Rattus norvegicus: one gene and its partner. The protein of the gene in region 1 purifies or fractionates together with the protein of each later gene. This does not show direct contact. Links are inferred from orthologs where the notes say so. Each region holds a gene or a part of one and is shown on either strand. Other genes may lie near its edges.

Region 1 (11,094 bases):
AACACTTAACAGCTGTACACTGGCGAATGAAGACTTTCTATTGGCTTAACTCATGTCCGAGCAGTCTTCTCTGGTGACTAGCCCATAGCAGCAGGACTTGTTGGAGGATGTGTGTCACTGCGGGAAAAACTGTGAGGTTTCAGAAGCCTGTGACGAGCTTCGTCCCATTCTCTACCTGCTACCTGTGGATCAGGATGTAAGCTGTTCTCTACTGCTCCAGGGCCATGGCTGCACCACACTCAACAAAATGATGGCCCTGGACTAACCCTCTGGAGCTAGAAGCGAGCCCCCAGTCACATGCTTTCTTATATAAGCTGCTTCGGTCATGCTGTCTCTCTACAGCACTAGAACAGGAGCTAAGGCAGTAGTTAAGGATCTCAAAATGGTGTACTGGATTCAAGGTGGGCCTTAAATCTGACGGCGAGTATCCTTATTAGTGGATACAGAAGAGAAGAAAGCAGCCGTGTGAAAATGAATGGAGAGTTTTTATATTACCGTCAGCCAAGAATTACTCAGGCCAGGAAGGATTTTTTTCCCTCTAACATCTTCGAAGTTGAGTGGCTCTGACAACACTGATTTTGGACACCCCACCTCCAGGACAGAAAAAAGTTCTGTTGTTTTGGGTCACTGAGGATGTACTATGGCGTCTGTGATGGTTTGAATAAGCTTGGCCCAGGGAGTGGCGCTATTAGGAGGTGTGACCTTGTTGGAGTGGGTGTGTCACTGTGGCTTTAACACAGTCATCCTAGCTGCCTGCAAGCCAGTATTCCACTAGCAGCCTTCAGAGGAAGATGTAGAACTCTCAGCTCCTCCTGCACGATGGCTGCCAGGATGCTGTCCTGCTCCCACCTTAATGATTATGGACTGAACCTCTGAACATGTAAGCCAGCCCCAATTAAATGTTGTCCTTATAAGAGTTGCCTTAGTAATGATGTCTGTTCACAGCAGTTAAACCCTAAGACAGTGAGTGTCATTTGTCGTGGCAGCCATAGGAAGTATGAAAGTAAGTTTGTTTTTTATTTTATTTTATTTCCCTTTTTAGACAGGGTCTATGTAGCCTTGGCTGTCCTGGAACTCGCTCTGTAGGACTAGACTGGCCTCAAACTCCGAGATCCGTCTACTCCTGCCTCTGGAATGCTGGGTAAAAGGTGTATACCACCAAGCTCGGCAAGACACTTTTGTTAAACAAATCTATAACAATCTAATCTTTTTTTAAAGATTTATCTATTTTATATTGAGTACACTGTAGCTGTCTTCAGACACACCAGAAGAGGACATCAGGTCCCATTACAGATGGTTGTGAGCCACCATGTGGTTGCTGGGAATTGAACTCCTGACCTCTGGAAGAGCAGTCAGCGCTCTTAACCACTGAGCCATCTCTCCAGCCCTATAACAATCTAATCTTAGGGGTTGGGGATTTAGCTCAGTGGTAGAGCGCTTGCCCTGGGTTCGGTCCCCCAGCTCCGAAAAAAAAAAAAAGAAAGAAAGAAAAAAAAAAAACAACAACAACAATCTAATCTTAATCAAAATTGAACAATAAATTTACTGTAAAATCTGAATGGAAAAATAAAACCCCATGAATATTAGACAAACTAGTGCACTGACAATTCTGGAATTTTGATCTCTAAAATAAAAAACATGGAAATATTACAAGAATGTGCTTTCTTTTTAATCCCAGGTGTGGGATATGGGGCCGTTTCAGACTGTCCACAGCAGTTGACTATGATTTGCCTCTTGCTCTAGCAGAGGCGTTGTTTTGTCTGCTGCAGATAGAATTCTGGGAGATTTTTCAGAGGCTATATAAATGCTACGGCCCAAAGAGGCAGGGTTGGTGGTTGGTGATTGGTTGCTAGTAGTTACGCTTAAAGAAGAAACAAAAGAAAAAAGAAATTAGATTCAGAGTCCTTCATCCTTCTTTATCTCCTCTCTAGTCATAGGGGGTGAAACCAAGAGCAGGGGGATAGAGGGTGGGGGGAAAAAGAATGCACAAAATAACAAAGACCTGTTACAAACTAGCTTTGGAAAAATAGAAAATGTTTGCCCTGTTAGATATATCAAGGTACACCACAACACTGACATAAATGTAGTCTGTATCGGTATAAGCACTGCTTTCTTTTTCCCTTTGGATTTTTCAAGGCAAGGTTTCTCTGTAACCCTAGCTGTCTTGGAACTCACTGTGTAGAACAGGTAGGCCTCAAAGTCAGAAAGCCATCTGCCTCTGCCTCTCTGCGCCTCTGCCTCTCTCTCTGCCTCTCTCTGCCTCTGCCTCTCTCTCTGCCTCTCTCTGCCTCTCTGCCTCTCTGCCTCTCTACCTCTCTACCTCTCTGCCTCTGCCTCTCTCTCTGCCTCTCTCTGCCTCTGCCTCTCTCTCTGCCTCTCTCTGCCTCTCTGCCTCTCTGCCTCTCTACCTCTCTACCTCTCTGCCTCTGCCTCTCTCTCTGCCTCTCTGCCTCTCTGCCTCTCTGCCTCTGCCTCTGCCTCTGTTTCCTCTGCCTCTGTTTCCTCTGCCTCCTCTGCCCCTTGAGTGCTGGGATTAAAGGCCTGCAACTGGCGTTTTGTATAAGCACTTTGAACAGGAGACTAGAAGAGAGAGCTCAGAAAGAGACAGGTGTAAATATGGAAACTTATTATACACAAAAGTGGTCTTGAAAACCACTGAGAAAAGGAGGTCTCGGACGTGCCACTGACAGAAATGGGTGGCCTACATAGGAAAGCAAAGCTGTCAACGCCACTCAGCAGCAGATGCTTCTGAGGTGAATGCTAGGCCTCACAAACCAATAAAGGATGAAGAGCCTCAGTGGAGACGTGGGTAAAAAACACAAACGAGCAATTAAAAAATAAAGTCTCTGTGTGTGTGAGAGGAGGGATGTGTGTGTGTAGGAAGCTCAGAGAACAAATTGAGGCAGTCACTCATCTATCCTGTGGGTCAGATCCTCAGGCTTCGTGACAGGTGTCTTTACCAACGAATCCCTCTTGCCCACCCCAAATAAAAGCAATTACACACCTGCGAAGAGGGGCGGGAGAGACGGCTCCGCGGTTAAGAGCACTGGGGGAGGGTGCACAGACATCCATGCAGGGAGAGACATCCCCATACACATATAATAAAAACATAGAAGTGACTTTAAATTAATTTTAAATGCCTATGAAAAGATGAGCCAGCCTAATAGTAGTCAGAAAGTGAAAAAAATAAGCCAAAACAACATGTACATAGTTCAGACCTGCAAATTTTAGAAAGCAGACTAATGGTTGTCACTATACGCATTGTCTGTGGGAACGTCAATGGCTACATGATTTGCAAGAGCCATTCGGTCCAACTGGACCGTGTTTATTCCTATCTAGTAACTCTGGAGCAGACACACAAGCCAAAGAAGTTCTCATCCGGGTTTTTAAGGGGAAGATGTATAAAGATGGCCATTCCTGGGGGAGGGGAGAGATAAATGCAGATGCCTGGCTGGGAGGACAGTGATGGATTCCACACGCACTGGTCCAGAGGATGGATCTTAGCAACCACAGCCTCTGAGGCTGTCTGCACACATTAATATGTGATGGGATGAGGGCAGATTAAGGAGGACTGGGCAGGTAGCCATGGGGACAATATACAGAGGCATACAATTATTTCTGAATGGTGATATTATGAGTGACTGTAATGTTACTTTTTATAGCTTCCTCAATAATCTGTATTACATTAATCAGAAAAAAAAAGCCATGAGACAGGGTTCAGAACCTCCTGAGGAGTTCAGTTATTACCTTAATTATTTATTAGTCATTCCGTTTTCTATTTCCAGACTTAGTACTGGTGAATTATTTCTAGAAATAACTTACTTTTTCTAAGATATCAAGTGGTTAATTATATGCAACATTTAAATCACCATAGAAACTCATACGCCATCATTTCTTTCTTATGTTGAATCGTTTTCCTCCTGAGGATATTCTGAACAACTTAAAAACAAGTTATAAATTATTCACTTGGCTTAGAGTACATAAAGAATCTCCAGATATCATGCAAAAATAAATTCCATATAACAAGTTTCATTTTTATACAGTAATAGATTCACATATTTTTCACGATATCTAGAAATTCTGGCTGGAGTACTCAAAGTTCTGGTGTGAGGGTTGAGTGAGTTAATGCAAGGTAAGGCGCTGCCTATACCTGTCACACAGTAAACGTGTAAACTTTGCAACTATGATCGTTAAAATTGCTAAAGTGATTGCCTTTGCTTCAAACTCTTTAAAACGAATCAGCTGGGGTTGGGGAATTTAGCTCAGTGGTAGAGCACTTGCCTAGCAAGCGCAAGGCCCTGGGTCCCCAGCTCCGAAAAAAAAAAGAAAAAAACCAACCAACCAACCAACCAAACAAACAAACAAACAAACAAAAAACCCGAATCAGCTATTGGTTCAACTGGACCAGTCCAATTGTGTTTAATTTTTATTAATTTTCGCTTATATCTTTTTTTTTAAAGATTTATTTATTTATTATATATAAGTACACTGTAGCTGTCTTCAGATACACCAGAAGAGGGCATCGGATCTCTTTACAGATGGTTGTGAGCCACCATGTGGTTGCTGGGAATTGAACTCATAACCTCTGGAAGAGCAGTCGGGTGCTCTTAACCGCTGAGCCATCTCTCCAGCCCAATTTTCGCTTATATCTTAATGTTCAGGCTTTCTTGTTTTCGGATCAATGCATTTAAAGAGATGTTTTCCCCAGGGTATTGCTTTCACATCGTCTCACTCACCGTGACTTGATAACTAAAGATGATGATGTAAATAGGGCACTCAATACTGATTCATTAGCTTACACATTCTTCTGTCTCCTGTTCTCCTGGGCCAACCCACATTTGTTTTTTGAGACAGGGTGTCTCCGAGTCCTGGCTGTCCTGGAGTTAGTTATGTACTCCAGGCTGGCCTCAAATACAGAGAACTTTCTGCCTCTGCTGGGATTAAATCCGGTGCTAGGATTAAAGTCTGGCATCAACACACCGAGGGTAATGCTTATCTGTACTTGGCACAAAGCCACCTTCCTTACTCTTCCCGCCCTTCAGGGGAGGTGTCTGGCGTGACTCCACCCCTCCACACGCCTCCCGGTTCCCATGACACCACGCAGGCACTGTAAACACGTGCGGTAACTTCTTACGTCTCCTTCCGCTGTTCTGAAGCAAGTCTCGGCTGCAGTGGGGAGGGGCGGGGAATAGTCCCTTGGCAACCGAGTTCCGCTCCGGAGGGGGCAGGAAGGGGCGGGCCTAAGGGCGGAAGGAACCGGAAACCGCTCTTTCTGCGGTAGGACTGGGTGATGCGCCTCCGGGAGGCGGGCCCAGGCGTGCGGAGGGATCCGTGGCTGGCCGCGGCGGCGCTCCGCCTCCTCTCAGGCAGGCTTGGCGGCGCGGGCGGCAGTTGCTGTGGTTTCGGTGCTGAGGTGGCTGTGTGTTCACCGAGGCTTGCGGATCCGCCGCTTCCCGCCGTCAGTGGCTGCAGCTCAGTGTCCTTCCTTCGGACCGGCGGCACCCTCTCTCTTTCGCCGTTCGGTTCCGATTTCCAGTCCCGGGCCTAGGGCGGCTGCGGGGCCGCGGCTGGCGAGATGTTCAAGAACACGTTCCAGAGCGGCTTCCTCTCCATCCTCTACAGCATCGGCAGCAAGCCCCTGCAGATCTGGGACAAAAAGGTGAGCGATGGGGCGGGGTGTGGGCGGGGCACTCGCCGCCCACGAAATGGTGTGGCTACTGAGCCTCGGCTTCCTGGTCAGTAGAATGGGTGCAGGGTCCACAGCCTAGCTTGAAACGCATAGTCCTTTGATGAAAGACATGCATGTGTTCGCTGATACCAGGCATTGTGCTGCCCTCTAGACAGAGGGCCTCTTTCCCGGGCATCCTGAGCACCGGCCAAGCCAGAGGTGTTCCGGTCTCATTCATTAGCCCCCTCCATTTCATTGACCGCCGATAGCCTGACCTTTGGAACTTGGCTGCGAGCTTTCTTTAACTTAGAGTCCGTACTGTTCCTCCTGTACCGGCTTTCTCCGAAAACTGCACAAAGGTGATTGTTAGAGGCTTCTCAAGAGCCGCAAGTGCAGACCCAGTGTCAAGCCTCCGTATTTTTATCTAGCCGTCCTCTGGAATGGATGGTATCTTCGTTTGCCACATGAGATGGTGGCCTTCCCTGCTCACTTTTGGAGATGTTAAGAGCTAGCAGAAATGCCTTGGCGTTTCTTTTCTCGTGAAGATTCGTTTTTTTTTTTTTTTAAATACAAAGTGGGCACTCTAATGCGGAAGCCAGGTGATTTAGGGAGTAGCTTTAGTTCTGCCCTCGGCGGGGGAAGATGGAGAGAGGTGGTGTTCATAGAGATGTATATAGAATGGGTGGAATAAGTCAAGATTATTGTTAGTGGAACGAGAACAATGCAGTGTCTTTCCTAATTCACAGAGGAGGGCTTTGAGGCGCATAGTGGTTGACAGAGTACCTGACTTGCCTTCAGCTTGTCACTGCTAGAGAGTCGTGTGTTCTGAGGACAGTTTTGAGAGAAGCCTGTTGGAAGTATCGTGTCATTTGGCCAAGTCAGTTGAGAGCTCAACAAGATCTGGCCTTTGGTACGTGAGCAGTCTGACCAACTCTTTCAGATCCATAGCCAGAGTTATGTCAAGAGTATGGCGTAGGAAGCAGACCCTTAACTTCCCCCATTCTCCTGAGTGTTTATTCATTTTGAAATGAAGCATCAGGAGTTCTTAAATCAGACCTCTGCACCGAGAACCCAGAGCAAGTCCACCTGGCAGTGTTTGGAGGAGGATGCTCACCAGCTTGGTATCTGGACAGTTACGATGGGAGAGAAGTGTCGAAGCTTCTCTCAGAGGCATTCATTTCCCCCCTGGTTTTGATCTGAGATGTGGTTTATTTTTTTTTTTCAAGCCCGACTTTTTGACTGGTCACCATGTTTACACATGGCAGAGAAAGCAGAGTAACCATGGTGCGCTCGCTGTGTCCCTTAACAACGCCTCTAAAGGGCCAATGGTACCCTGATGACATAAACACGTAAGAAACATTGTTGGAGCAGAGTTACATGGAGCAAATTAAACAGACATTTTGGAAAGAAATTAGTTATGTTTCCAACTCTTGTTTGGATTTGACAGACTTAGCATTTAAGGGAGAGGTTTTCTCCAGTTGAAGCAAGAGGAGGCAAGGATGGAGGGGAAGTTCGGCCTCCAGGTTAGCTTTGCTGTGTTCAGGCCTTTCCTGAGTTAAGTTATGAAGTTCCCAGTAACTGGGAACAGTCCAGTCAAGGAGACCCTGGGAACTGGTCATGTTTATCGATCATGTTTATCAGGGATTTACTGAGCAACACCTGAGTGACAGGCATTGTCTACGGATACAGAATTGAGGGGGAACTGCCCTTTTCCTGAGAAGTAAGGTCTGGTTGTAGGGTAGAGGATGATAGGGCTGTCTGTTACCTACACGTGGCTTGGCCCTTTGCCAGTAGACACTACACACTGACTGAGGACTATTTTGGGTTCCATTTTGATATCACAAATATTTACTATTCTGACTTTTGCATTTGTGCACAGAGAGAATGCCTACTTGGCTTCCATAAAACAACAATCTTGAAGGATTGGGTATAGCATCTGCTTAGGCTTCTGAAATTAAGACGGTGCAGTCATCGTCCCTTGGCTTTTCCTCTCCCAAACCTCTAATGGCTGGCATCTGTCTAACTAGTTGTCCAGGCTCACTCACTGGCCCCTCCTTAGAAACAGACTCCTGCATGTGAAGGCCATGAAGCTCTCTGCAGTGTAAAACCTCCCGCACTGGTTGGTGCTGGCTTTCACCCCAAGTCCACCCACATCTTCCTTGGTCTCCGGCTCAGTGCAGAGGAAGCAGTACCTCTGGTGCTGCCTTGGCCCTGCAGGCTCAGTTTGTCAGCTCCCAGCCTCTGCATCCTCCTTGTCACGCTGGGACTTACTTAAGATCTGAGACAAATCTTTATTGGTTTTCAGACCAAGAGCTCAGAAAGAATCAACAGGCTCTTATAAATTTATTTTTTTAAGATTTTATTTTATTGTATATGAGTACACTGTAACTGCCTTCAGATGCACCAGAAGAGGGCATCAGATCTCATTACAGATGGTTGTAAGCCACCATGTGGTTGCTGGGATTTGAACTCAGGACCTCAGGAAGAGCAGTCGGTGCTCTTAACCACTGAGCCATCTCTCCAGCCCCCTCAACAGGCTCTTTAATGTTGCTTGACTTCTGGAACCACCAGATCCGACTGTCGTTATTAAGAATGTTAGGGCTGGGTGGGTACAGCTTTAATCCCAGCACTGAGGAGGCAAGGGCAGAGGAGTCTCTGAGTTTGAGTCTAGCCTGGTGAATACAGCGAGTCCTAGGGTGACTAACCAGGGTGACCTAGTGAGTTATTGTCTCAAAACAAAAATAAAAAACAGAGTGTTCCTCATCCTGCACTGTACTGCATGAGCTTCAGTCCTCTTTGCTGCTGCGCTGGAAGTCCATGGGACTGGCTTGTGTTGCTACTAGAAGCCCATCAGACTGATTTGTGAGTTCTGCTCTCTCTTCTCTCCTCCCAGCTGCTGATGTTTCTCCATGGAATGTGACTTTATCAGAGTCTGTTGTTGATCTTGTTAAGTGGTCATGATGCCTGGGTCCCTGTTTCTCATTTTAGGAAAGAATAAAGTCCCTCTCCAAAGTTTAAAAAAAAGTCACTACATTTTTGTTTAGTGTGTGTGTGTGTGTGTGTGTGTGTGTGTGTGTGTGTGTGTGTGTGTGTGTACATGTTCTTGCCTATGCCCACAGAAGTCAAAGAACCAGTTATAGGAGTTAGGAGTCAGTTCTTTCCTTTCACCATGTGGGTTCAAGAATTGAACTCAGGACATCAGACTTGGCTGCAATAAGGTTTATCTTACTTACTTTGCTGGCCCTAGACTCTGACTTTTAATTTAATAAATCTTGTTGATATGTGCTAAATCTATCTGGCCTCCATGAATGGAACTGAGTGTCTTTGGATAGAAAGAGTAAAATGATTTTCACTTTCCAAGGCTGTCTTTATTTTTATGAATAATATCTTTTACTGTAACAGGATGGAAACAGTGGGTTCCGTTTACTTGTGCCCTTTCAAGAAACACTATGAACAAGGTGCTGCTGGTGCTCACCTTTAATCCCAGTAGGCAGGTGGATCTCCGAGAGTTTGAAGCCATCCTGGTCTACAGAGTGAGTTCCAGGACAACCAGGGGTACAGAGAAACCCGGTCTGGAAAGAAAGAGGGAGAGAGAAAGTGAGGGAGTACAAGAGAGGAAGAAAGGAAGGAAGAGAAAGAAAGACACACTGTGGTACCCAGATTAGCTAAAGGGATCATTTGCATGTGTCTGGAGCTGCCTGTCGTGTGTTAGTACTTGTAAAAGTACTGCAGGTGGAGAGCAGCCCAAGGTCCCTGCGGCTGAGCTCTGACCACAGTTTCCCACAGAGGGCTCCCTCTCCCTGTTTTCTGACTTGGAGCCAGGTCCCTGGCCCTGGGCACATACTTCCTGCTGCAGGAGACAGCTTTAGGGGCTTAATGTAAGTCGGGACATGTGTCAGTAAGAGGACATGCCAGATGGCTGAGGTTTCAGCTGCAGAGTGAGTGAGTGCAGCCAGAAAATGAAAGTGGGGGAGGCGGGCAGAGGGAATGGTGCAGCTAATGTGTTATTTTTGAATCACTCTGTAGAACTGTGGAGATTGGCCAGCTTCCTCCCTATCCCTGTAGTATTATTTTTCCCTCATCTTGACCCTCTTCCCTAGGGCTTACACAGAGAAGGGGGAAGATCAGTGTTCTTTATTAGTTGCCCAGCAACCATGAAGAGCCTGGGAGAATGACTGAGATGAGCTGAAGGTTTGCTCCCCTGGTGTCTGGAATCCGAGGATCACTCTCGTCTCTAATTGCCAGTGCCTTGGGTTCAAAAGCTGCCATATACTTTGTGTGTAGGATGATGGGCCAAGGTGCACAGGGATGAATAAGAATACAATATAATAACGTTTACATATGTCATTATGAAGTCCATTCATTTTCTTCCTTTTTTGGGTTCTCATGAGTAGTGTGTGTGTGTGCATGCATATGTGTGGGGTGTATGTGCTGACGTGTTTGCTTGTGGAAGCTGGAGGTAGACATAAGCTGGCTAGGTATTGAACCCAGACTGCCCATCCCCACCTCCCAGTGCTGGGGTTATAGGCAATGCATTGCCTTTCCCGGCTTACGTGGGTGCTGAGGATCCAAACTCAGATCTTAACAATGTGCCCAGACTGAACTGGAGTTAGAAGCCTAAGGTAGCGATCCTTCTGCCTCAGCCCCCTAAGTGCAGCCACTGTACCTGTTAAACCTGTTACTGTGCATGCTGATAATAATTTTGTTGCTTTTTAGCTGCTGTGGCAGAATAACTTAAGGTAAGAAAGTTATTGTTTGGCTCTTGGTCTAAGGAGAAAGTAGGAGTAGGGAGAAAGGTGTGGCCAAGTTCGTGGTAGCAGGGACAGGCATCTGGGACTCCACACCTATGAAGATCAGGAGTCAGTGAGCAGAGAATTTTGACACTAATCTTGCATTTCTTTTTTACTCTTTAAATCTTTTATTTATCTATATTTGATGTTCATTAGTTTGTTTATTTATTATTGTCCATTGGTTATCTCCACTTGGCGTTTTGCCTGCATGTATATCTGTGTGAGGGTGCCAATCCCCTGAAACCAGAGCTGCACACAGTTTGAACTGATATGTGTGTGCTGGGCCAGTGCTCTTAACTACTGAGCCATCGCTCCAGCCCCCATCTTTTCTCCTTTTTATTCAGTGATGGAGTCTGAACCGAAGATGGATTGGTACCACCCACATTTGGGGTGGGTCTTCTCTCATTAAACTTCTCTGGAAGCACATAGCAGACATCCAGAGGTGCGTCGCTATCACGCTGACTTCAAAGGTTGAGGGATCTCTGTGCGTGCGTGCGTGCAGAGTCCTGTGCACGCGCCTGGTTGTATTTATGCTTACCAAGTAAGTGCAGGTTCCAGCAGAGGCTGGAAGCGCACATCAGACCCCAGAACTGCAGTACCATGGTCAGGAGCCACGTGAGTGTAGAGGCCGAACCT
Region 2 (10,383 bases), on another chromosome or scaffold:
ATTCCTAGAATTAGAAAGGCCAGGCACTGACAGGCTCCAGGGTGCAGTCCCGGGGTGTTGGGTTGTAGAGGGCAGTCCAGTCTAACTTCCCTCTCTCTTTCCTAAGGCCAGGGGGTGGGGCCTGGTGGGCCAGGGACCTTTTGTTGGCCTGCTTTTCCCTAAAGGGAAAACACTGGGTCCTGGGTCCGTATTTTATGGGATGGAATTAGTTGAGTTCCTCTCTAGGTTGACAGGAAGACCTCACTGTGTTTTGCTTCTGTTCTAGGACTGGAACCCAGGGTCTCTTGCATAGGCAAAGCCTTCTTTGCATTACACCTAGTCTTTCGTTTTTTAACTAGCACAGAAAGCCAGCCTTTTTTTTTTTTTTTTTTTTCTTTTGTTTGTTTTGGGTTTTGTGGTTGTTGCTTATTGAGACATTGAGACAAGGACTCTTATGTAGCCCTGGTTGTCCTGGAACTCTCTATGCTGGCCTCAAACTGAGATCTGCCGGCCTTAGCCTTCTCACTGCTGGGATTAAGGGTGTGTGCCACTACCCCTCCCTTCAAACCCCCCACCCCCCATTTTCTGAAAAATTACATTTATCAGTCTGGGTCGGGGTGGTGCACATGTGCCACAGGGCTGAAAATAAAAGGACAGCTTAGAGTCAGCTCTCGTTCTACCGTTTAGATTCTGGGATTGACCTGAGGTTTTCAGGCTTGGAGGCAAAAGCCTTACCTGCTGAGCCATCCCACCAGTCACAGACTTATTTAGTAAAAAAAATAAAATAAAAATTATATATATATATATATATACACACACACACACACACACACACACACACACATATATATATATTTATATTTTGAGACAAGGACTTTCTATGTAGCTCTTGACCTCGCAATGTATGTATACCATACACACACACACACACACACACACACACACATATATATATTTATATTTTGAGACAAGGACTTTCTATGTAGCTCTTGACCTCGCAATGTATGTATACCAGGCTAGACTTGAATTCATACATCCCACTAGGGCTCTGGTACAGCTGGGGCTCTGAATGCTGCCTCTCTTTTGCCCGCCCTCTGGCTGCAGGTCACCTTCGGAATCCAGTTCCGAGTCCCGCTCCCGCTCTCGCTCCCCGAGCCCAGGCCGCGAGGAAAAAATCACTTTTATCACGAGTTTTGGAGGCAGCGACGAGGAGGCAGCTGCAGCAGCTGCTGCAGCCGCCGCATCCGGGGCTGCCCCAGGGAAGCCCCCCGCGCCTCCCCAACCGGGTGGCCCCGCTCCAGGCCGTAATGCCAGCGCCCGGTCGGTAACGCTCGTGCCTGCCCTAGCTGACCGCCGGGTGGAGGGACGGGCCCCCTAGGACGTTGTCGTTGACAAACCCCGTCCTCCCGCAGCCGCCGCTCCTCTTCGTCCTCCGCCTCCAGGACCTCCAGTTCCCGATCCAGTTCGCGCTCCAGCTCGCGCTCCCGCCGTGGCTATTACCGTTCTGGCCGCCACGCGCGCTCTCGCTCCCGCTCCTGGTCCCGCTCGCGCTCCCGTTCCCGGCGCTATTCCCGCTCCCGCAGCCGTGGACGACGGCACTCAGACGGTGGTTCCCGCGACGGACACCGCTACTCACGCTCGCCAGCCCGGCGCAGCGGGTACGCGCCCCGCCGAAGGAGCAGGTCTGTGATAGCGACGGGGCAGGAGCGGGTACTGGGGAGGCGGGCTGTGGACAGACCAGGCCAGCCCTCTTCTCTTGGGAAGCACGTGATTGGAAGAAGGACGGGGTGGGTACCCAAAGTATGGGGCGGGGCATGGAGGTATCTCCTTGGCTTTTGCTTGAACTTCCCGGTCTACAGGACCTGGGAACCTCGTGGGCAGGGCAACATCCTTTGAAGAAGAGGGAGGGTTCCCAGGGGACAGAGGAGCGTGGGCTGTAGCTGTTTTTAAGTTTGGTTGGGGAAAGCAGCAGTGGGGAGTTTGTATAGGGCCAGGCTTAGTGACACAGCTGGAATTTCTTTGTAGAACAGACACAGCTATGGGGCCATCAGTCATTAATGGCTAGGCGAGCCGTCATTTTTCTGTTGCTCTCAGGAGGCTGAACATGCATGTTACCAGACTGAGTATGCACTCAGAACTGAAGACGAGTACTAATCAGCCTAGGGAGATTCATTAATTATGTGCTTGGAAAATGGCTTCTGGGTCTTTCCTGTAGCATGACCACAGGGGAACGGCGGCAGGGGTGGGGTGGGGTAGGGCAATCACAAATTGAATGCCAGCCTGGGGTGACTACTTTCTTGAGAATACTACTAGTGCTCCTAGAAGGGAAACCCTGGGCTGTGCAACTGATGCAGAACCTGTAGATTGGTGTGGAGCAAAGTGGATTTGGAAATTGGGGTGACTCCCTGTAGGTCCCTGGAGCCTCACAGCCCTCCTCCTCCTGTTACACCTAGGAGCCGCTCCCGTTCAGGTGACCGCTATAAGCGGGGTGCCCGGGGCCCCAGGCACCACAGCAGCAGTCATAGCCGCAGCAGCTGGTCCCTCAGCCCTTCCCGAAGCCGCAGTCTGACCCGGAGTGGAAGCCGAAGCCAGAGCCGGAGCAGAAGCCGCAGCCAGAGCCACAGCCAGAGCCAGAGTCACTCGCCATCGCCCCCAAGGGAGAAGCTGACCAGGCCAGCAGCATCCCCTGCTGTGGGCGAGAAGCTGAAAAAGTGAGTTAGGGGCCTGGCTGGTGCTGAGGGACCCCCCCTCAGTTTATTTTGAAGGGAATGTAGCAGTATCCTGGCAATTCTGGGAGGTGTGTGCACTGCAGGGGGGGGTCAGGGCCATCATGGCCTTGGCTTGAGTAGGCTGTCAGGGATGTGGTCCTGCCTAGGTTATAAGGGTTAGAACATATCCTGAGGAGTCTGGAGCTCATGGCTGATGCCAGTCCTGAGGCTTATGGTAAAAGTGGCATTGCCATTTTCTCTCAAAACCCAGGACCGAACCTGCCGCTGGTAAAGAGACAGGAGCTGCCAAAGTCAGTAAGAATTTGGAACTCGCCCGTCTAATTCCCGTCAGCAGCAGTGTCCAGAGCTGGGCCTGGTGGGCCTGCAGGGGGCCCAGGGGGAGGGGAGAGCCAGCCCAGGGACTGGGGAAGGGCTACCCAGGCAAACTAAGTCCCCTCCCTGCCTCCCATGGGGCTCCAGCTGACCCCTAAGTCCAGACTCTTGGCTGAGGTGGGCTGGGCGAGCTCTGGGCACCCACGCCTGTCCCGCCCCTTCTCCCGCAGCCCAAGCTGACCCCACAGGAGAGGCTGAAGCTGCGGATGCAGAAGGCTCTGAACCGCCAGTGTAAGTCCTGCCTTCAGTCCAGCTGGGGCTGTGGGAAGAGTGGGCTGACCTCTCTTGAGCCTGCCTGAGCAGGTCCAGTTGGTGTGGGGACTGTGAGCCCAGCCCTCAGCCTCACACCCTTTCTCCCTCCATCCACAGTCAAGGCGGATAAGAAGGCAGCTCAGGAGAAGATGATCCAGCAGGAGCACGAGCGGCAGGTCAGGCTGTGCTCGGATGGGCAGGGCATGCAGGTAGAGTGGGGGGCCGGACCACCCCTCATAGCTGTTTCTGCTGCAGGAACGCGAGGATGAACTGCGAGCCATGGCCCGAAAGATCCGAATGAAGTAAGGCTCCGACCTGTGGTCCACCCAGCCTCCTGTAGTTGGAGCCACCTTGGTCCTTTCACTGGTTCTGAAGCCCAACTACTGCTGTCCTCTTCCCCTGGCAGCCTGCCTGCCTGCCTGCCCGCCCTCCACATGCCCCAGGCCTTTACCTCCTGACCTCCCCATACCTGGCAACTGTCCTTTGGTGTCTGATGCCTAACAATTGGTGACGTGAAGCTGCCTGTGGCCAGTCTTGTGGCCCAAGAGCTTTTTCTTCTTCTCTTCTTTCTCTTCCTCCACTCTGTGTTGGGCCAGTCAGAGCCTGGGCCCACAGGCTTGGGATTTAGTTTCAGCTGTCTTAAGTCTGATCAGGTGGCTCTGGGGTGGGTACCTATCATCTTGGAGCCTCAAGTGGGCCATCCCCTCAGTGCCCACCAAACTAAGCGCTAGGATGACTACCTGAGGGTCTCTGTCAGAGCCTGGGCTGTTACACTGTGTATTGGCAAAGAGGGGAGCCGGTCAGGGATGGGGGCCTGCTCCTGACAGTTCTTTCTGCTTTGTGTCAAAGTAGAGGAACAAACATTTTGCTTTCTTGAGCTCAGTTGTCTTCCTCTGGAACAGTGGTGGGGATGGCTCCTATCTCTGTGGTAAGCCATGCCACCAACTGCTGTGGCACAGCCTGCTGCCCAGTGCCCAGGCCAGCTCCTGCTTGGTCATTTCTTTACAATATACATAATTTACATTTTTGTTTTTCTTTTGTGAGATAAGTGTTTCACAGTGTAGGTCTAGGTAGCCTGTAACTCACTCTGTAGCCCAGATTAGCTATGAATCTGTAGCAATCCTGCTTTGTCTTCCTAAGTGCTGGGATTACAGGCATGGAAGGCCGTGTTTATCTTGGTGTGAGAGGGAGAAGGGTGGAGAGAGAGAGAGAGAGAGAGAGAGAGAGAGCGTGAGTGCACATATCAGCCAGCCAGTGCACATGCATGTGCGTGGAGGCCAGGGGATAACTTGTGAATTGATAGCAGAACTCTCCAGCGTTGGACCTGGGGATGGAACTCGGGTTGTCATGCTTATGGCACAGTGTTTACTCTGAGCTGTCCTGTCACATGTGTGTGGCATGCTCATTGAGTGTCAGACACTGCTGTGGGGTAGAGCAAGAGCACAGGCATGGTATTTTCATGCCTGTACAATTCCACCAGATGATGATGAGTTCAAGACCAGTCCTAGCTGCGCTCACTACCTTCTCAAAGACAGAGCCCTAGAAGAGTCATTGGGGACTTTGCTCTGCTCTTTGGTCATGTTGGCTTCTGGCTCTTTCAGCCACTTTACCTCACCACCTGTCTGCATCAGCCATGTCCAAGCCTCACTTTAGGAATACGGTCCTTCTCACAGACCCCCTGGGAGAACAGGGCATAGACAAGGCTGCCAGGGTTCCCAGTCCTGCCTGTGGGGAGACAGTTGGCCAGCCCTCTACTGTGCTAGGCTTGGCTTTCCTGGTCTAGGTGGAGGTGTACAGCCCAGCAGGTGCTCACCCCTCCCTGTTGGTTGCCTCCCCTCTCCCCTTGCAGGGAGCGAGAGCGACGAGAGAAGGAGAGAGAAGAATGGGAGCGCCAGTACAGCCGCCAGAGCCGCTCACCCTCCCCACGCTACAGTGAGTGTTCCCCCCCACCCTTCCTGCAGTACCAGGGTAGGAGACCACTAGCAAGCAGCTCACCCCTGTGGTCCCAGCACTGAAGAGGTAGAGGCCAGCCTGGGTTACATGGAGAAATCCCCGCTTCAAATAAAAAGTTCACTTCCCCACCCCCCCAGTAAGACACCAGCACTGAGGTAGGAGGATGGCTAGATGATTTGGTATTTGGGAGCAACCTAGATTACAGAAAGACTCCACGGTACTATTTTCAAGTCTTTAACAGCCAGGTATTGTGGCACATCTCTAGGAAGGTACAAAGGCAGAGACAGGAAGCTCTCAGAGTTTGAGGCTAGTTAGGTCTACAATAGTAAGACCCTGGTCTCAAAACAAACAAAAAAACCAGTAAGACACTGCTTGAAGCATACAGACTGCATCTGTCCCTTTAGTGCTAAGAATGTGGGGGGGAGGGGCTTGATCCTGGCACAGAGATGTTTTGGCAAGGGTGAGGATGGCCCGTGGAGACTGGCTGGCATCACATCACCCTCCTTTTCTTTTCAGGTCGAGAGTACAGTTCTTCCCGCAGGTGAGGCTGATAGCCCAACCACCAAGGGTGACCCTCCAGCTCTTCTAGAAGTGCCCCGCGTCCCTCCTTTTGATACCCCCTCATTTGGTGGGGCTGTACCTGTTCCCTACGGAAGGCACTCCTCCCTCTGCACTGTCTCCAGGCCTGTTGGTGCATGTGTGGGTGCGAGGGAGGCTCCCAGCATCCCACCCTCATAGTCTTCCCCTTCTCTGCAGGCGTTCGAGGTCCAGGTCCCGAAGCCCCCATTACAGACATTAGGCAGAAGAAGAGTTGGGGGCTGTTATGCTGCTGGGTTTCTGTAGTGAAATAAAAGCTAACATTATTTAATGGACTTCGCCACATGCTGTCCTCTAATTTAGAACTTCCAGGCTGAAGACTGCTGCAGGTGCTGTAGGTAGCCTGCAGGGTGTGGTGAGTGAGGCCTGCAGGGGCAGGAGGAAGGGGCCAATCCAGTCAAAGGCCCAGACTATGGCATGTGTGGACAGGGCCAGTGGATGACGGGATAGGACTGGACTGGGCCCAGAAGCCTCTGGTGACAGGTCCAGGCCTCTCCCTGCCCCTGGCCTCACCCACACCAAGAACCGGGAGCACAGCTTTCTGTGCCAGTCCTCCAGTGCCCAGGGCACTTACCCCCCACTCCAAACCGGTCTGTCCAGCTGTCCACACTATGGAGGGAGCATCCCACCTCAGACACCCCAAGAAAGCCCAAGTCCAGGCACACGAATAAATAGGAGATGGTTTATTTACACAAAAGAATGGCTAAGTGCTGGCCGTGTCCTCTTGCTGAGGAACACCTGTCTGTACAGAACATCTCAGGCCATCTCCGGGTGCTTCTGCCTCAGGTGCTTGTCCAGCGTGGCCTGCAGGACAAAGGGTACGAGGCAGTGCGGGCACTTGTACACAGTCTTGCCAGTTCCCAGCCCGTGTGTGCGGCGGTGGCGGTTGAGCTTGCTGCTCTGGGCACAGGCATAGGAACACTGGTCACAGGTATAGGGCCGCTCGCCAGTGTGCGATCGCCGATGCACCGTGAGGTTGCTGCTGTTGGTGAAGGACTTCCCGCAGAACTCACACTTGCCCCCAGCCCGGTGACTCTTCCTGGGTGTTGTCTTCTCCATCTTTACAGAGTCCGTCCTCTCTACTTTGGCAGTGGCTCCACAGCCACCAAAACCTGGACTCTCTTGAGCCCCACTGCCAGGGGCCCCAGGTTCCTGAATTCCGGCTGTGGCGGCAGCTCCAGCCTTCTCCACATTCTGGCATGGGGGAGTGCTGGCTGGAGCAGCTGCATAGGCAGCTGGTTCAGGAGGGGCTGCTGGGGAGACTTCGCGGCTACTGGCAGAAGTGGAGGGGCTCCCAGGCGTTGGCTGCCGATGGGTCTTCTTGTGTCTGTTCAGCTTGCTGCTCTGAGCGCAGGAATAGGAACACTGGTCACAGGAGTAGGGTCGCTCACCAGTGTGGGAACGCATGTGGACCTTGAGGTTGCTGAAAGAGCTGAGGGTCTTCTTACACACGAAGCAGGTAGGGCTCCGCCGGGCAGCGCTACTCACTGAAGGGGGCTTGTCCTCAACTGGCCCCACCACTGCCACTGCTGACATGGCTGCAGCCACCTCAGCCAGGCCCAGCAACGGAGCCTCTGGGGTCTCCAATTGTTGTGTCTGGTAGATGCATAGCCCATGGTCCCACTGGGCGTGGCACAGCAACTTCCAAGCACTGGTGTACTGTCTGCCACATTGGAGGCAGCTCAGAGCCTTCAGCTCTTTGGATTCTGAAAGGGAAGGAAGGGGCAGTGAGTATCACCACAATAGGATGCTACATGACAGATGCTGCCCTCAGGGAACCTCCTGAAGTATAAACAGGTTTTAATATTTGTAGGGGTGGGGGGCACCAAGGTATTGGGGAAGCAGGGACAGAGGCTCAAAAAGTAGATCTTAATATGAAAGCCCAGAGCTGGGGCTTGGCACAGAAACAACACTAGGGGAGGTGGGCTGGTGTGTGGATTCCAAATTTGATGTTTTTCTAGGCTCATGGTGTCTATAGTGTCTACAGGACACTCCCCAGACCTATTAGACTTTGGATAGCCCAATCCCAGTCTGGACGGGGTGGCCTTTATGATACCACAGACCAAAACTAAACAGAGACCTGTCAAACTCAAGGCTTTTCCTCCCTAGCTGTGTAACCTTGGACTAGACCCTCTCTGCCCGCTTCCTAAGCTGCTAGAGTATGGGGAGTCTGAGTGGCCCTTCTAGGGCTGACCTCAAATAGGGAACAGCTGAGAGTTTTGGTCACCATAATAAGCCCTCAACTGTGAGCTGAGCCTCAGATAGCAAAATACCCACAGCTAAGCCAAAGGTGGTGACACACGCCTTTAATCCCACCACTGGGGAGGCAGAGGCAAGCAGATCTTTATTCAGTTGGAGGCCAGCCTGGTCTACAGAGTTCTAGGCCACTCAGGGCTACTTAGAAACCCAGTCTCACAAAACAAAGTACCCACAACTATCCAAGCCTATAATAACAGTAATAGTAGCTGCCTAGGCCAGGATGAGACCCTGTCTAAAATGTTAAATTCAGCAGAGACCCACACCAAGTGCCCACACGTCATTGCTGGAGTTGCTATTCAGGTGGACCCATCTTAGCCCCACCCTCAACCAAAGCTGATTGGATCCCAGCCCCAAATATAATTACATTTCCCAAGTTCCACCTGGGCACCACATGAGCTGGGGGCTGGAAATTCAAGTTCAGACCATATTTTAAAATCTCATAACAAGAGTTCACTGGACAGACACCACGCAGTCCTAATTCCTCCCCCACATACAACTCGAGTATGTAGCGCCCAGACCAGGGGCTTCCCAGCACTCTGCTGGGAGATCCCAGCAAGGGGAACAAGCCAGATGACCCTTCCCTGGTTCTGAACTGTCTAAACCTCAATGAGAAGGATCAAAACACAGTAGGTGTGGTACTCCCCAGGCCAATGTCCCATCCTCCACTAGGTCCCTACTGCCAACCCTGGTCCAGCCACCTGGTCAGTTATTTCTGTCCACGGGAAAGAAGAAGTGAAACTAAATTAGGGGTGTATGGCAAAACCCCGGGCCAGTCTTCTGGGGCTGGCCACACCTTGTGGGTGGCCTTCCTCCACTGCCCAGCCCCCGCCCCATCTCTAGTCCCTGCCCTAGGACAGGCAAGACCAAGCCACGCCCAGGCTCTACCCTAAGGGGAGCAAGGAGAAAGGGGAAGTAACGATTGGTGCCCCATCTGTCCACCTTAGCTCCTCCGCAGGGCAGGAAGTCCAACCCTGGATCAGGCGTGCACTGCACACTGAATTACTTACCTGAGATGGGGTCGGAGATTTGACGGAGCTGACAGCCTTGCTTTTTGTGATCCATAAAAGCGGTGATGGACCCTAATGGGAAGATCTTCCCGCAGCGGCCGCAGGTCAACAGATCTGGGTGCTTGTCGGTCCAGGGCTGGCGGTCTGCAGGGAGGAAGCGGGTGGTGAGCGGTGGGGTGGAGCCCGGCTCCGAGTGAGGGCTCCAAGGTGGAGAGGGGAAACCCGGAGGTTAGAGGCGAAGGCTGGGGAGGCCAGGCCGGTCCCCGGGCCATCCTCAGGGGAGAGGCACCCACCCAAAGGTCCCGATGCAAGCAGGGGCGAAGGTAGGAACTCACCGGAAGACATAGAACTCAGAGGCATCCACGGGGCACACGTGCTGGGCGCGCCAAGTGGGCGCGAGGCGGTTTGGAGGCGACGCTCCACATCGAAGAGCCCCGGCATGGGCACGTCCCTCGCGGACCAGGGCCCTTGTGCCAAGGACCCCAGGTCGCGGTCCGGTTTCACATCAATGATGAGATCAGGCATCTCCATGTCGTCGTTGGGCTCCGGGTCTACGCGGCGAGGCACGCGGCCGGCCTTGCGGCGGGACATGGGGCAAGAACGCAGAGGTAATTCGCGTAGCGGCCAGGCGCTCAGGTGAGTGAGTAGCTCTAGGCGACCCGCGCCGAACCTTTTACACGTGCTGGTCCTGCCTTGTCTCCGCCCACTGGGGCGGGGTCTTTTCGGGGCCAGTCGCGGCGGTCAAACTCGACCTTCCCCGCCCAGCCCGCTGCCCCGGGGACCAGTGCGCAAATTGTGCCCTCCTCCCTTGGGCTCGATTTCACCCAGGAGAGTGAAAAAAGCTATTCCCAGTGCCCCTCGTTCCCACCCCTAGGCGCTGGTGATACCTGAGGCTCGGGATGCAGCCCCTCATCCCCCAAGCGAGAAGTGGTGGACATCTCTCACTAGTGGGGAAGTATACTAAGAAAATTTCGCTTTAAACACCCCCCCTCTTTTTTTCTTTTTTGCCTTTTAAGCTCAAACTAGCCATGTAACGGCTAGTTTGAGGATGGCTTCGTTCGTTTGATTTTCTTCCCCCTCTCCAGCGGTGGTTTTACAGGGGTGCCTCACTACACCTATATTGTGTGGTGCTGGGCATTGAACTCAGAACCTCTGACACTCTTCTAGTCAAGTGTTCCACCCAGTGGGCTACATCCCAGACTTCATTCCATAATGTGGGGATGGAGGGTGGCAGT

What was found.
Region 2: the proteins of Cfap20 (region 1) and Clasrp purify together in Homo sapiens (affinity purification with mass spectrometry; 3 studies listed by BioGRID and IntAct, counting the BioPlex papers as one, with this or other methods). This does not show direct contact. The link is inferred for Rattus norvegicus from reciprocal best matches to the Homo sapiens genes CFAP20 and CLASRP.

What each region holds. Positions count from the first base shown.
Region 1 is NC_086037.1:9,609,629-9,620,722, forward strand, and holds the start of Cfap20 (cilia- and flagella-associated protein 20), read left to right. Parts: upstream 1-5,349; 5' UTR 5,350-5,575; coding exon 5,576-5,659; intron 5,660-11,094. UniProt on the Homo sapiens protein: Cilium- and flagellum-specific protein that plays a role in axonemal structure organization and motility. Microtubule inner protein (MIP) part of the dynein-decorated doublet microtubules (DMTs) in cilia axoneme, which is required for motile cilia beating.
Region 2 is NC_086019.1:88,356,009-88,366,391, reverse strand, and holds the end of Clasrp (CLK4-associating serine/arginine rich protein), read left to right. Parts: intron 1-1,083; coding exon 1,084-1,299; intron 1,300-1,391; coding exon 1,392-1,661; intron 1,662-2,432; coding exon 2,433-2,690; intron 2,691-2,958; coding exon 2,959-2,998; intron 2,999-3,250; coding exon 3,251-3,311; intron 3,312-3,449; coding exon 3,450-3,508; intron 3,509-3,587; coding exon 3,588-3,634; coding exon of another isoform or gene 3,635-3,636; intron 3,637-5,159; coding exon of another isoform or gene 5,160-5,181; coding exon 5,182-5,264; intron 5,265-5,801; coding exon 5,802-5,826; intron 5,827-6,041; coding exon 6,042-6,084; 3' UTR 6,085-6,157; downstream 6,158-10,383. Other genes in the region: Zfp296 (zinc finger protein 296), read right to left, coding at 6,639-7,588, 9,149-9,292, 9,484-9,739. UniProt on the Homo sapiens protein: Probably functions as an alternative splicing regulator. May regulate the mRNA splicing of genes such as CLK1. May act by regulating members of the CLK kinase family.